Xenopus tropicalis: one gene and its partners. The protein of the gene in region 1 interacts with the protein of each later gene in a biochemical or structural test. Links are inferred from orthologs where the notes say so. Each region holds a gene or a part of one and is shown in the gene's direction. Other genes may lie near its edges. The genes, in order: lrrk1, ret and vgll4.

Region 1 (3,655 bases):
AATTGGTACTAGACATGAGCCAGTCCACTTTTATACCAGTTCTGAAGATTTGCCAAAGATAAATTGTGATTTTGGCTGACTTTCTAGTCATGTGGTTTATGCCTGCATTTCTGCTCTAAATACTGCGTAGGAACCACTAATAAATATTCCATAAAATCCTAAAAATATGGAGGCACAGAATTTCTTTAAAACACACTTTCTATGCCAAACAGCTATTCATACTTTTTTTGGGCTATTAATGTAAAGGGTTATAAAACCCACCAAGCACTAGCATGGGCTTTGTATAGTCTGCTTAACTTTAGTGCCATGAGACATGGGTCATTTTTTGCCCTCCATCAAGCACGAACAACAAAACTACTGAAATTGTGGGTCATTACCGGCAATGTAAATTGGCACTGGTAAATTGTTAGATCGTGTAATTGCACAAAAATGTCTCCTAGGGTATTTTTACACAGCTTGAATAATTTCAATAATTGCTGGCAAATACACCACATAAAAACAACCAGTGTGTCACTGCCCTTTGGAAAGTATCATTGCTGCTCAGTTGTGCTGTATCCCTATCCAGTAAAGAGATGCAACAGTAGGTAATAGCAGCAATAGCTAACCTCCTTCCTGTAAACTTAGAGCATCTAATACACTAATGGATTCATTTATTCCACCCTTTTCTAGCAATCCAGGTATACGAGAGCTTCCTGCAGATTTGGGGCAGTTGTCTAGTCTGTGGCAACTGGACCTTGAGGATCTGAACATCACAAACCTGCCCGGGGAGATCAGAAAGGAGGGTAGGTGAACAAAGGGACCTGCTCACTTTCTTAGATACACTGGTTAGAATTGACCAGATTTGGTTATGATTTCACATACATATGTTACATAAAGCAACTTTATTTATACAGCGCCAACATATTCCACAGCACTTAACAGAGATTATACATCAATCACATCATTCCCTTCCCACACACAATGATCAGTTGTATTAGGAGCCTGTTTACCTGACTGTATGTATTTGGAGTGTTTGAGGAAACCCACACAGACAAGGAGGAAAACATACAAAATCTTTGCAGATATTGGATGCAGAATAGGACCTCAGTGCTGCAAGGCAACAGTGCTAACCATTGCTCCACAATGATAAAGCTATCCTTTATAATCTCATCAAAATGAAGGTGCAGAGCTTTGCAGAACAACTGCTTTGGTGGTTATTAGATATTGACATGTCACATCCTACTGTACCTAGGGCCAGTTACTATCCTGGCTTACCTGCGTGCTCAGCTGAGAAGGGCAGAACGATGCCATCTGGTTAAAATGATAATTGTGGGACCCCCTCGGCAGGGCAAATCTACCCTTTTTGAGGTTCTGCAGAGTGGGAAAGTGTCTCAGCAAATGCAAGGGGACAACTCCATAAGAACCACCTGCTGGGAGCTACAGAAGCCTGTGGGGACCACTGCAAAGGTGAGCAGCAGAGTTCAATTGTAGTAACCTACGTTATTGTAAATTCTACTCACAGATAGTGTTACTGCCAGCTTGAATAGCCCTAGGTGGGATTAGTGGCTGAACTGCAAATATTACAAATATTTTTTTTTTTAATTTTTTTATTATAAATATTTTTTAAACAAATGCTTACATTGGGAGACTTGTGGTTTTAGTAAAAATAAATTTGTTTAAAGCTGGCCATACACGTGGCGATCTGACGATGTTTCGTGGTCGCACGAAACATCGTCAGATCCGCCACACACCATTCAGGGCTCAATCGGCAGGTAAGGAGGTAGAAACAATAGGATTTCTACCTCCTTCTGCCGATTCAGCGCTGAAGAGAAATTTTGGTCAGGCGCCTTCTATGGCGCCCGATCAAAATTTTCAAACTGGTCCGATCGGCGAGTCGGCAGATATCAGCAGCTTCCTGCGATATCGGTCGACTGGCCGACATACCATACACGCAGCGAATATCGTACGAAATGAGGTTTCATACGATATTATCGGTGCGTGTATGGCCACCTTAAGAATCTTACCTTATGCTATAACAATTTAACTAGTAGACCACTCTGCAAAATCTAGACTCTTTCATGGGTATGTTCTCCTCAAAAGTCACTTGTGTTGAATGTTGGAATCCTGCTAGCTGACTTTAGGCATGTGCATGTGGGCAACAGCATTTAAAAAAAAAAGGTGTGAAAGAATGCTAAAAAAATTCATATGTAGGAGCATATGCAAAGAACAGCAGTGTTGATGGCACATGTCATTATCCAATTTACATTTGTTGTATTCTTGTACACCTACCCTGATGTGCTTGTGTTGGGTGTGTGTCACACACAGACCATGCCCACTTGAGGTAAATCTATCTTGCAGATCGTAGATTGGCATAAAGAGAATGTGTGAACCAGGTAAATGCTGAAACATAGTAATGCAACGGTTCTGTACTTCATTCTGTCAAATAGGATATCCAAGTTCCTCCTAAAAATCCTGCCAGTACAACATTCCATAGGGTTACTGCCTTCATATCAAAGTACCTTTTGCATAGCCTTATGCCAAGGGCACACTATGGCCATGATCTGCTTTTCTCCGCCTGAGTTTTGTACTTCATTTTGGCAGTAGGGCAAGTTTCTGGATCAACTTTGTAATTGTTGTATTCATTTCAGTCACCTTGTATTTTCTTTCTTGCAAGGAAAGGCATCCATATCTTTCTTGAAGTTATCTTGTACATGTTTCAGTACAACAGCTTCAGGGAAGAAATAACACAATTTTACAAATTTTCTCACTGTAAAAGATATCTCTTTCCTTAATATGAAACCTCTGTTTGTTTAATCTCAATAGTATGTCCTTTTGTTCTCTGCAGATACTTATTGGTTAAGGGCATTTATTGTATGGGCCCCTTATATATTCATACATAGCTATCATATTCCCCTTAACCACTGCTTTTTCAATGTTGAAAAAAATGCAGCCACTCTTTTCTGGGCTTTCCATATTTCTTTAAAGGAATACTGTCATGGGAAAATGTGTTTTTTTCAAAAGGCATCAGTTGATAGGTATTCTCCAGCAGAATCCTGCACACAAACAGATTTCTTTATATTTAACTTTGAAATTTCACATGGGGCTAGCCATATTCTGCATTTCACTGAAAGCAGTTCTAATGTGCAGCGCTGGCATCTTTTTAAATATCAGACTCGGGCACAATGCACTAAGATGGCGCCTACACACCAATATTAAAACTAAGAATAATTAAGAAATTAAGAATAATTTTAAATGGTAGAGTGAATTATTTGCTATGTAAACAGTGTAATTTAGAATTAAAAAGTACCCCATAAAAAATCATGACAATATCCCTTTATTAATGAATTATATGATGGAAACGCAAACTGCACTCCATATTTTAAATAGATCCTACCTTACCTTTATTACCCCTTCAAGTACAGGACAGTATTTTGACGAACATTGCTGCTGCTGCTGTCTGACATTTCCTGCTGCACACATGTTTTTTATCTGCAATTACCCCAAGATCCTTCTCCATTAAGGATTTACCTAACTTAAGGTCCCCATACACGGGCCGATTCTAGCTGCTGATATCGGTCCCTTAGACTGATCGGCCCGTGTATGGGGACTACCGATGGGCCTGCCCAACCAATATCTGGCCTGAAATCGGCCAGATCTCGATTGAGCAGGTTAGAAT
Region 2 (4,284 bases), on another chromosome or scaffold:
TGGTATCAGTACTGAGATTAACTGCCCCCCCTGCATGGTTCTCACCTCAGATTCAGGCTGTAATCCCTCTGTATTGTTTAAATATGTAATCCCCTGTGTTGTTCACACCTTTTAATCTCTGCATTGTTCACTCCTGCAGTGTTCACACCTCAGGCTCAGGCTGTAATCACTCCCATTGTTCCCCTGTTTACACCTCAGGAGCAGTAGAAACCCACAAATAATCCCTGCACTCTACAAAAAGAACATATACTGAGGTGGTACTGCAATTAAAACGTTTTTTAATATATAGTTATTGTGCAGACTGTAGGAGCAGTGCCAGCATTGTGTCACTGTAGGCTGCCTGTGTGTGCCATACACACACAGGCAGCGTAGGGCAAGCAGAGTATGGCACACACAGGCAGCATAGGGCAGGCAGAGTATGGCACACACAGGAAGAGTATGGAACACACAGGCCAAGTATGGCACAAACCAGACAAGAATGGCACACACAGTGAAAGTATGGCACACAGGCAGGGTAGGGAAGGCAGAGTATGGCACACACAGGCAGGGTAGGGCAGGCAGAGTATGGCACACACAGGCAGGGTAGGGCAGGCAGAGTATGGCAGGTTTTTGCTGTACTACAACCATTAATATGGGTATGGTCATGTGATAACATGGGTGTGGTTTCAAGTGGGTGCGGTTTCAAAAAGGGGAGTGGTCAAAACTGGCTTCCATTATCGGCCCTCCACCACGTAGGTCGGAAAAATTCCGGCCCTCGGTACAACAGAAGTTGGACAGCACTGCTATGGAAGATGTTAAGCACAAGACTGCGTTGTTCAGATCCTCTGCACCTTGTGACAGATTTCATTTTGCGTGCCCCTTTGTACTCTTGCACTTGTGTCTTCCACAGTAAAAAAAAAAATAAACGCTTATATTTCCAGGCTTCTTTTTTATCTGCAAGTTAATTTGGATTTTCCATGCCTATCACCTATTGCCCTTCCTTTAGAACACTAAAAAAGAAGGTAATATATTTTAAAAGATTTATTGCCAGAACCATAGAGAACAGTTTTTTTTTTAATACAAAATTGAAGTAGGTGCAGATGAAATGAAATAATTTAATTTGCCTTAATAAAACTGTATCAGGAAAACAGGACAATTTGCTTTTAACTCTTTCTGTGTGCTATTTAACTCAGTGATTACTTCTGACAGTGGGTTAGCAAAGAAAGAATCCAAGTTGCCTGTAGGTTTGGCAATGTATTTTATGCCTGATTGGTTTTGATTGCGGTGTCTGCTTCTTCCCTTTGCCCTTTTCACTTCAGTATAGTCCATGTGTGAGAGTTCCCCCCCCTGCCTGTTCCCTCCCCTGCTTGCTCCTGGCTGCAGTTTATTAATTAAACTGGGTGTAGCTGAGTGCCCATTTGCTCTTGGCTTTATTTGCACTGAGTTTCCTGCAGATGCACTCGCCTGTTATCAACATCATCTCTTCTCATGCAAGAACCAATCCAGATCCAAACAGAGAACCTATGCTCCTTTTCCAAACAATACCTCTCCTCTTTATAGCTGCTTGAACATCCAAACTAGCATTTGGGACGATTCCCAAGCCCTGCCTAGATCTCCTAGACAAGATATTAATAATGATAAACTCAGTTGTGTTCCCAATGTAACACCTGCTGCAAGAGTGGGAGAAGCACAGGACTCTCAGGGTTAAGATGATGATTTGTGCCTCCCTGGACATCTTTATTTAAGCATCTTTAGGAGACTGTCTTTGGGAAATTGTAGCAGATCGGGGGAGTGGACATTTCAGCATCTCCGCAGCAACTTTTCTTTCTGTGGATTTCATTGTGTGCTGCTTTTGTCGTCTGACACCACTGCTTTTGTCGTCTGACACCACTACTGTCTCAGGAAGAAAACAGCTTGTCCTCTCACATCCCCCTAAGAAGAGAGACAGGCAAGGGACACGCAGCAGGATGCCTGGCAGTGCACGCTGTATGGTGCAGGCTCAGCTAGTGAGCAGGCTGGGCTGAGACAAGCACATTCTAAATCTGAGTTGTGGTGTGGCCAGGTCCAGTCCCATAGCATCGGAGATCCTCTCCCACACTCGGGGAAAGGTCTGCAGGCACTAGGACAGCATGGGTCAATCTGGCTAAAGGATTACAGGAAAACACAGGAGACCGTTCATTCTGTTCCAGACACGCCCTGGAGACACCAGAAGTGGATTATTGCAGAGGGGCAACTTTCTACCTCTGGCACTAAACCCACTCCTAGGTCAGGATGGCACCTGCAGGGTGGGCACTCTGTTTACTCTCCCTCTTGCAAGGTAAGGGGGGCTTGGCTGCTACAGATTAGATGTTCTAAGATGCTGCACTTTCTTGTTATGATAAGGCTGCTGTTATTATTGAGACCTGCTTATACACAGTCCTGACCTATACTTCTGTATAACTTTTAGGGAGAGGGGTTTACCTGCTAAGCCCAAATCCCCTATTTTAGTTAGGTCCCCATATCGACTCCTACTGTATGGTTGCACAGTCTCTTCCCGTTACTAATTATTATTCTCAGCAGTGCTTTCATTTACAGTAGGATGTGCCAATTTTCATTCTGGCACTTTAGAATTTAGCAGGATACTTAGCATTCTTAGCTCTACTAAAAAAACAGCAGGGACAGGTTTGTGGGTTAGTAATTAAGGGAACAGAGGGTGTATGGGCATCAGGTTATCTCCAAATAATGAATGATGGATACTTTATTTAAACAGTGGTTTTGGGGGGGGGGGGGGAATTGGTATATCTATAAATGCTGAAGAGTAGCTAGTGTTATCAACTGGTTCCCTTTGTTTTGATTGGTTGGCATGGGGGTTCCAGGTTGTCTTTGAATGCTAAATAGTTGGTACAGGGATTACCAGGCTCCCTCTGAATGGGACCGGGTACAGGGTCTGCCAGGTTACACTGGGATTGTAAGTACGACATGGAGGAAAGAAAAGCACACTGTTGGTAGCAGTAGCAGAGACTGGGGCAGTTATGATGCCGAGTCCTAGATATTTATGAGTTCTTTGCAGTGAGGTAAGAAGTCTGCAGATCTGATCTCATGTAAAGGTGCCAGCAGCTGCTGTTTCACTAATGTAAACAGAAAATCATATCATTTTCCCTTATCTCCATATGTCAGTGTTTGCTCATAGACTCAGCACATGCAGGTGAATAAATCTGAGCTCTTTAATACAGCAGAGGCCAGGCTCCACGATTTTGGGTAATAAATAACCCTCTGGTCCATAATCACTTCAGAGGGCACAACTTTAGCACATGTTATGTTTATTGTTCCGTGATTAACCATTTCTGCCACCTGACGAAATCACACTGCTGCCAGACCCTCTGGCAAATGTGCCAAGCAAATAGCAATTAATGAACCATATTCTTATTTTTGAAAATGTATTCAAAATTCTATGGTATAAATTCATTTTTAATGAATTCACTAGCTGATTTTATTAAATACAGATGTTCTATCAATTATAATTTTAATAATAATCTTTTATTGTCTGCTGTTATTAACATTAATAGTAGGCTTTTGGCATCTTTTTCAGCGCAATGCATTTAATGTGTAGTACTGATTTCTCTCAAACCAAATCTGTGTTTTGTTTTTAACACAAACTAGAAAGCCAAAGTCTGGAAGCCTGACCAGAGCAGTATTATCTTTTTACTTGTCCATAAATAAATCTATAATTTTAAATTGTATTTAATGACATGTATAAGTAGGTATGACACTTAAACTTAAAATGATTTGTATTATAAAGTATACTGTAGTGTGAAGGATGAGAAAAAGGATTAATGTATCTGCTTGAACTGATTCCTATCTTATTCATCTGTCTATTTATTTTTTCTCCTTTTCTCTTACTATCTATGTTTAACTTATTATTATAATTATTATATTGCAGAGCAGGCCATCCAAATAAATTATAGAAGGAAATAAAGGATATACAATATCATCTTTCCTATACACCTGTCATTATTTGTCAAAGTGTGACAGTAAGATGCTATGCACTTCACTATTAACTCTTCAGTCTTATTCACATTTGTTGTATCTTGGTTATTGGTAAAATGCTTTTAGCAAATAATTGATGGAGAAGGCTAATGTGTCTCTGATTAGTCTGCATCTGCATGGTTGAAATTCTGCTTTATCATTGAATTATTATATTTGCGAAGCTTCAACTTTCAGAAGATGAAAGTTAGTAAGAACACAAGACATTTTATGGCTGGCAATCGTTTCTGAAGACTCTGCTTCCATAATTCTATGGACTTGTTTGTTAATATAGAGATTATT
Region 3 (3,523 bases), on another chromosome or scaffold:
GGCCGCAGTATCGCTTGGGGGCTTCACATGACTCTCCCTAATATGGCGCCTGTTCCTTCTTGGTATCTTGGTCGCCAAATTCAGGGTTTTCTTTTCCTAGTGTTTCCAACAGGGCCTCGCTGGCCTGCAGAGCTGCTTGTATCTGAGTGCAACCAATGGCTCAGCACTCTAGAGATGATATATATATGAACCAGTGTTTTGGCTATTTTGCCTTAGTATGTGTACAAGGGCCCAGAACATTCCTTCTCTGTATATTTGTATTTATACATATGGGTAGGGGGTGCCATAGTGTTTCCCTTAGACAGTACAGTATGGGGGTACAGCTTATTGTGTGCCCAGAACATTCCTTCTCTGTATATTTGTATTTATACATATGGGTAGGGGGTGCCATAGTGTTTCCCTTAGACAGTACAGTATGGGGGTACAGCTTATTGTGTGCCCAGAACATTCCTTCTCTGTATATTTGTATTTATACATATGGGTAGGGGGTGCCATAGTGTTTCCCTTAGACAGTACAGTATGGGGGTACAGCTTATTGTGTGCCCAGAACATTCCTTCTCTGTATATTTGTATTTATACATATGGGTAGGGGGTGCCATAGTGTTTCCCTTAGACAGTACAGTATGGGGGTACAGCTTATTGTGTGCCCAGAACATTCCTTTTCTGTATGTTTGTATTTATACATATGGGTAGGGGGTGCCATAGTGTTTCCCTTAGACAGTACAGTATGGGGGTACAGCTTATTGTGTGCCCAGAACATTCCCTCTCTGTATATTTGTATTTATACATATGGGTAGGAGGTGCCATAGTGTTTCCCTTAGACAGTACAGTATGGGGGTACAGCTTATTGTGTGCCCAAAACATTCCTTCTCTGTATATTTGTATTTATACATATGGGTAGGGGGTGCCATATTGATCCCCATAGACAGTACAGTATGGGGGTACAGCTTATTGTGTGCCCAGAACATTCCTTCTCTGTATATTTGTATTTATACATATGGGTAGGAGGTGCCATAGTGTTTCCCTTAGACAGTACAGTATGGGGGTACAGCTTATTGTGTGCCCAGAACATTCCTTCTCTGTATATTTGTATTTATACATATGGGTAGGAGGTGCCATAGTGTTTCCCTTAGACAGTACAGTATGGGGGTACAGCTTATTGTGTGCCCAGAACATTCCTTCTCTGTATATTTGTGTGTGTGTGTGTGTATCTCTGGGGGCTCCTCTAGTATCTGAATATTTTAGTAATAATGACTGTTTCCTTACACTGTTCCCCACAGTTCCTTATTTCTTCCCCTCAGCCCCCCAATCCTTTCTTCATTGGCCAAGTATCAATCTTCCCATCCACAATTTCCTTTTTTCAAATTTCCCAAACTTCTTAAACCCCATATTTTCCCGCCACCCACCTAAACCCACACCAGCAACCCTACTTGATGACCCAAACCCAGCCAACCCACGGAACCTGTAGGTACTGGGTACACTTGCACCTCATTGCTGTGTATAGCCAGCATTACTCCTCTCCCAAGCAGCTCCAGGGGCCCCCCTACTCCATGTGCAGCAGAACCATAGTACACGGGCATCCCCTAATCCTGTCAGATTGTAAGCTCTAATGGTTACAGCTTTATTTTCTGTATCAGTCATTATGGTGCACAGATTTCATCCCTGTTTTGCTTTTGTCTAGAACCAAGAGCCTTAACGGCGACTACCGGAAAGAGCACAGAGACCGGAGCCGGAGCCCCATAGAAAGAGCAGCGGCACCGACCATGAGTCTCCACGCCAGCCACTTGTATGGGATCCCACCCCTGGCGGTGGATCAGCCGCTGGCACTTACCAAAAACAGCATGGATGCTTCGCGAAGCATGGGAATCGTGCCCACCATGGAACGGCAACAGGTGAAGTGACTTTTATTTCCACCGATACACATGTTGGACTGTAAATGTGCCCATACATGGGCCGATTGTAGCTGCCGATATGGGCCCCTTGGACCGATTCGGCAGCTTATCGACCCCTGTAGGGGCAGGAACGAGGGGCCTGCCCGGCAGATATCGATCGGGCAGGTTAAGTCAGATCGGTGACCGCATCAACGAGCCAATGCGGTCCCTGATCTGACTTAACCTGCCGAACCGATTGCCCCACTGCCGCCATTGTAATTTGATTGTTTGGCCCCAGGGCCAAGCGATCTAATTAGCCTACATTTTCCCCGGTATCGCCCACCCGTAGGTGGGGATATCGGGAGAAGATCCGCTCGCTTGGTGAACTCGCTAGGCAAGCAGATCTTCACATGTATGGGCACCTTAACTCCCTGTGGCCCTACTATTCTGATTAATATTCTTTAATAGATTCTTTTAGGGAAAAATAGATGCAAGTTCCTGAGGGTTAATGAATCGTTAGATTCATCTGCATCCGTGTGGCCCAGAGCACTAGTGTTTTGGGAATATGGGATTGGACATAGTCATTCCCTTGGGCAGGTCCTGATACTGCGCTACAGCTCCTGTTGGTGTCTCAGACAGTGTTGGGAGTAAATGCAGCCAGTATCACTGGATATTTTTTTTTTTTCCCAAATATTATTAAATTGTCGACTTTGTAAAACTTCACTCTCCATCCAAAATTGTTGCCCAGGATCGTTTTAAGGCACAAGTGACTCAAGGCTGCAATTCTTTCTTTCTTCCCAGAACCGACCTTCTGTGATTACGTGTGCACCGGCGAGTAACCGCAACTGCAGTCTGTCTCACTGCCCCGTCACCCACAGCGGGGGTGTCTCTGCCGTGCCCGGCAGCTTCCGGCGGCCATCAAACAGTGAGTTCAACTTCTTGGCTAAACACATCATTTAACCTCTTACCTGCCAGGCAACCGGAATAACAGTACCAGCCCCATAGATTCTAAGGTTGCTTATATCTTTTGCCCCAGCACTGGAAGGGTTAAGTCACCCCAGAGGTTTTTTACTGCCCCAGTTCTGCTGAATCATTTCCACTTAAAACCTTATTCCAGGATGACCTTGTAGCCCGGGCTGGAGCTCTATATTTGTTGCAGTGCAGCCATTTTGAAGACCGGGATGCAGTGCCTATTGGCAGGTCATGGAAATTGCCGTATTTCTCGAAGGTGATTAGTCCTGGTCCAGTTACTCCAAAGGCTTGTAATGCCGGACATGGGCCCCAGTCATTTCCCTAGTGCTCCAGGTCTGACAATTCCCCTTTGAATGATGGTGTAATTTAGTACTGGATTCTTCAGGTTCTAATGTGTCTGTAGTAAATAGAACATTCCAGTGGAATTGACTCCAAGCCAATTAACACTTTGCTTTCTTTTTCCCCTCTGCCCCAGCCACGACCGCCTGTGACCCTGTGGTGGAAGAGCACTTTCGCAGAAGTCTCGGCAAGAACTACAAGGAGCCGGAGCCCGTGGCCAATTCTGTGTCCATCACCGGTTCTGTCGATGACCATTTTGCCAAGGCACTTGGAGAAACCTGGCTCCAGATTAAAGCTGCCAAGGATGGTGGGCCCAGTAGCCCTGAATCTGCCTCGCGAAG

What was found.
Region 2: the proteins of lrrk1 (region 1) and ret form a complex in vitro, tested with the Homo sapiens proteins (2 studies listed by BioGRID and IntAct, with this or other methods). The link is inferred for Xenopus tropicalis from reciprocal best matches to the Homo sapiens genes LRRK1 and RET.
Region 3: the proteins of lrrk1 (region 1) and vgll4 form a complex in vitro, tested with the Homo sapiens proteins (2 studies listed by BioGRID and IntAct, with this or other methods). The link is inferred for Xenopus tropicalis from reciprocal best matches to the Homo sapiens genes LRRK1 and VGLL4.

What each region holds. Positions count from the first base shown.
Region 1 is NC_030679.2:115,735,775-115,739,429, forward strand, and holds part of lrrk1 (leucine-rich repeat serine/threonine-protein kinase 1), read left to right. Parts: intron 1-669; coding exon 670-782; intron 783-1,231; coding exon 1,232-1,446; intron 1,447-3,655.
Region 2 is NC_030683.2:50,223,397-50,227,680, forward strand, and holds the start of ret (proto-oncogene tyrosine-protein kinase receptor Ret), read left to right. Parts: upstream 1-1,410; 5' UTR 1,411-2,250; coding exon 2,251-2,296; intron 2,297-4,284. UniProt on the Homo sapiens protein: Receptor tyrosine-protein kinase involved in numerous cellular mechanisms including cell proliferation, neuronal navigation, cell migration, and cell differentiation in response to glia cell line-derived growth family factors (GDNF, NRTN, ARTN, PSPN and GDF15).
Region 3 is NC_030680.2:151,278,398-151,281,920, forward strand, and holds part of vgll4 (transcription cofactor vestigial-like protein 4), read left to right. Parts: intron 1-1,681; coding exon 1,682-1,892; intron 1,893-2,672; coding exon 2,673-2,796; intron 2,797-3,318; coding exon 3,319-3,523. UniProt on the Homo sapiens protein: May act as a specific coactivator for the mammalian TEFs.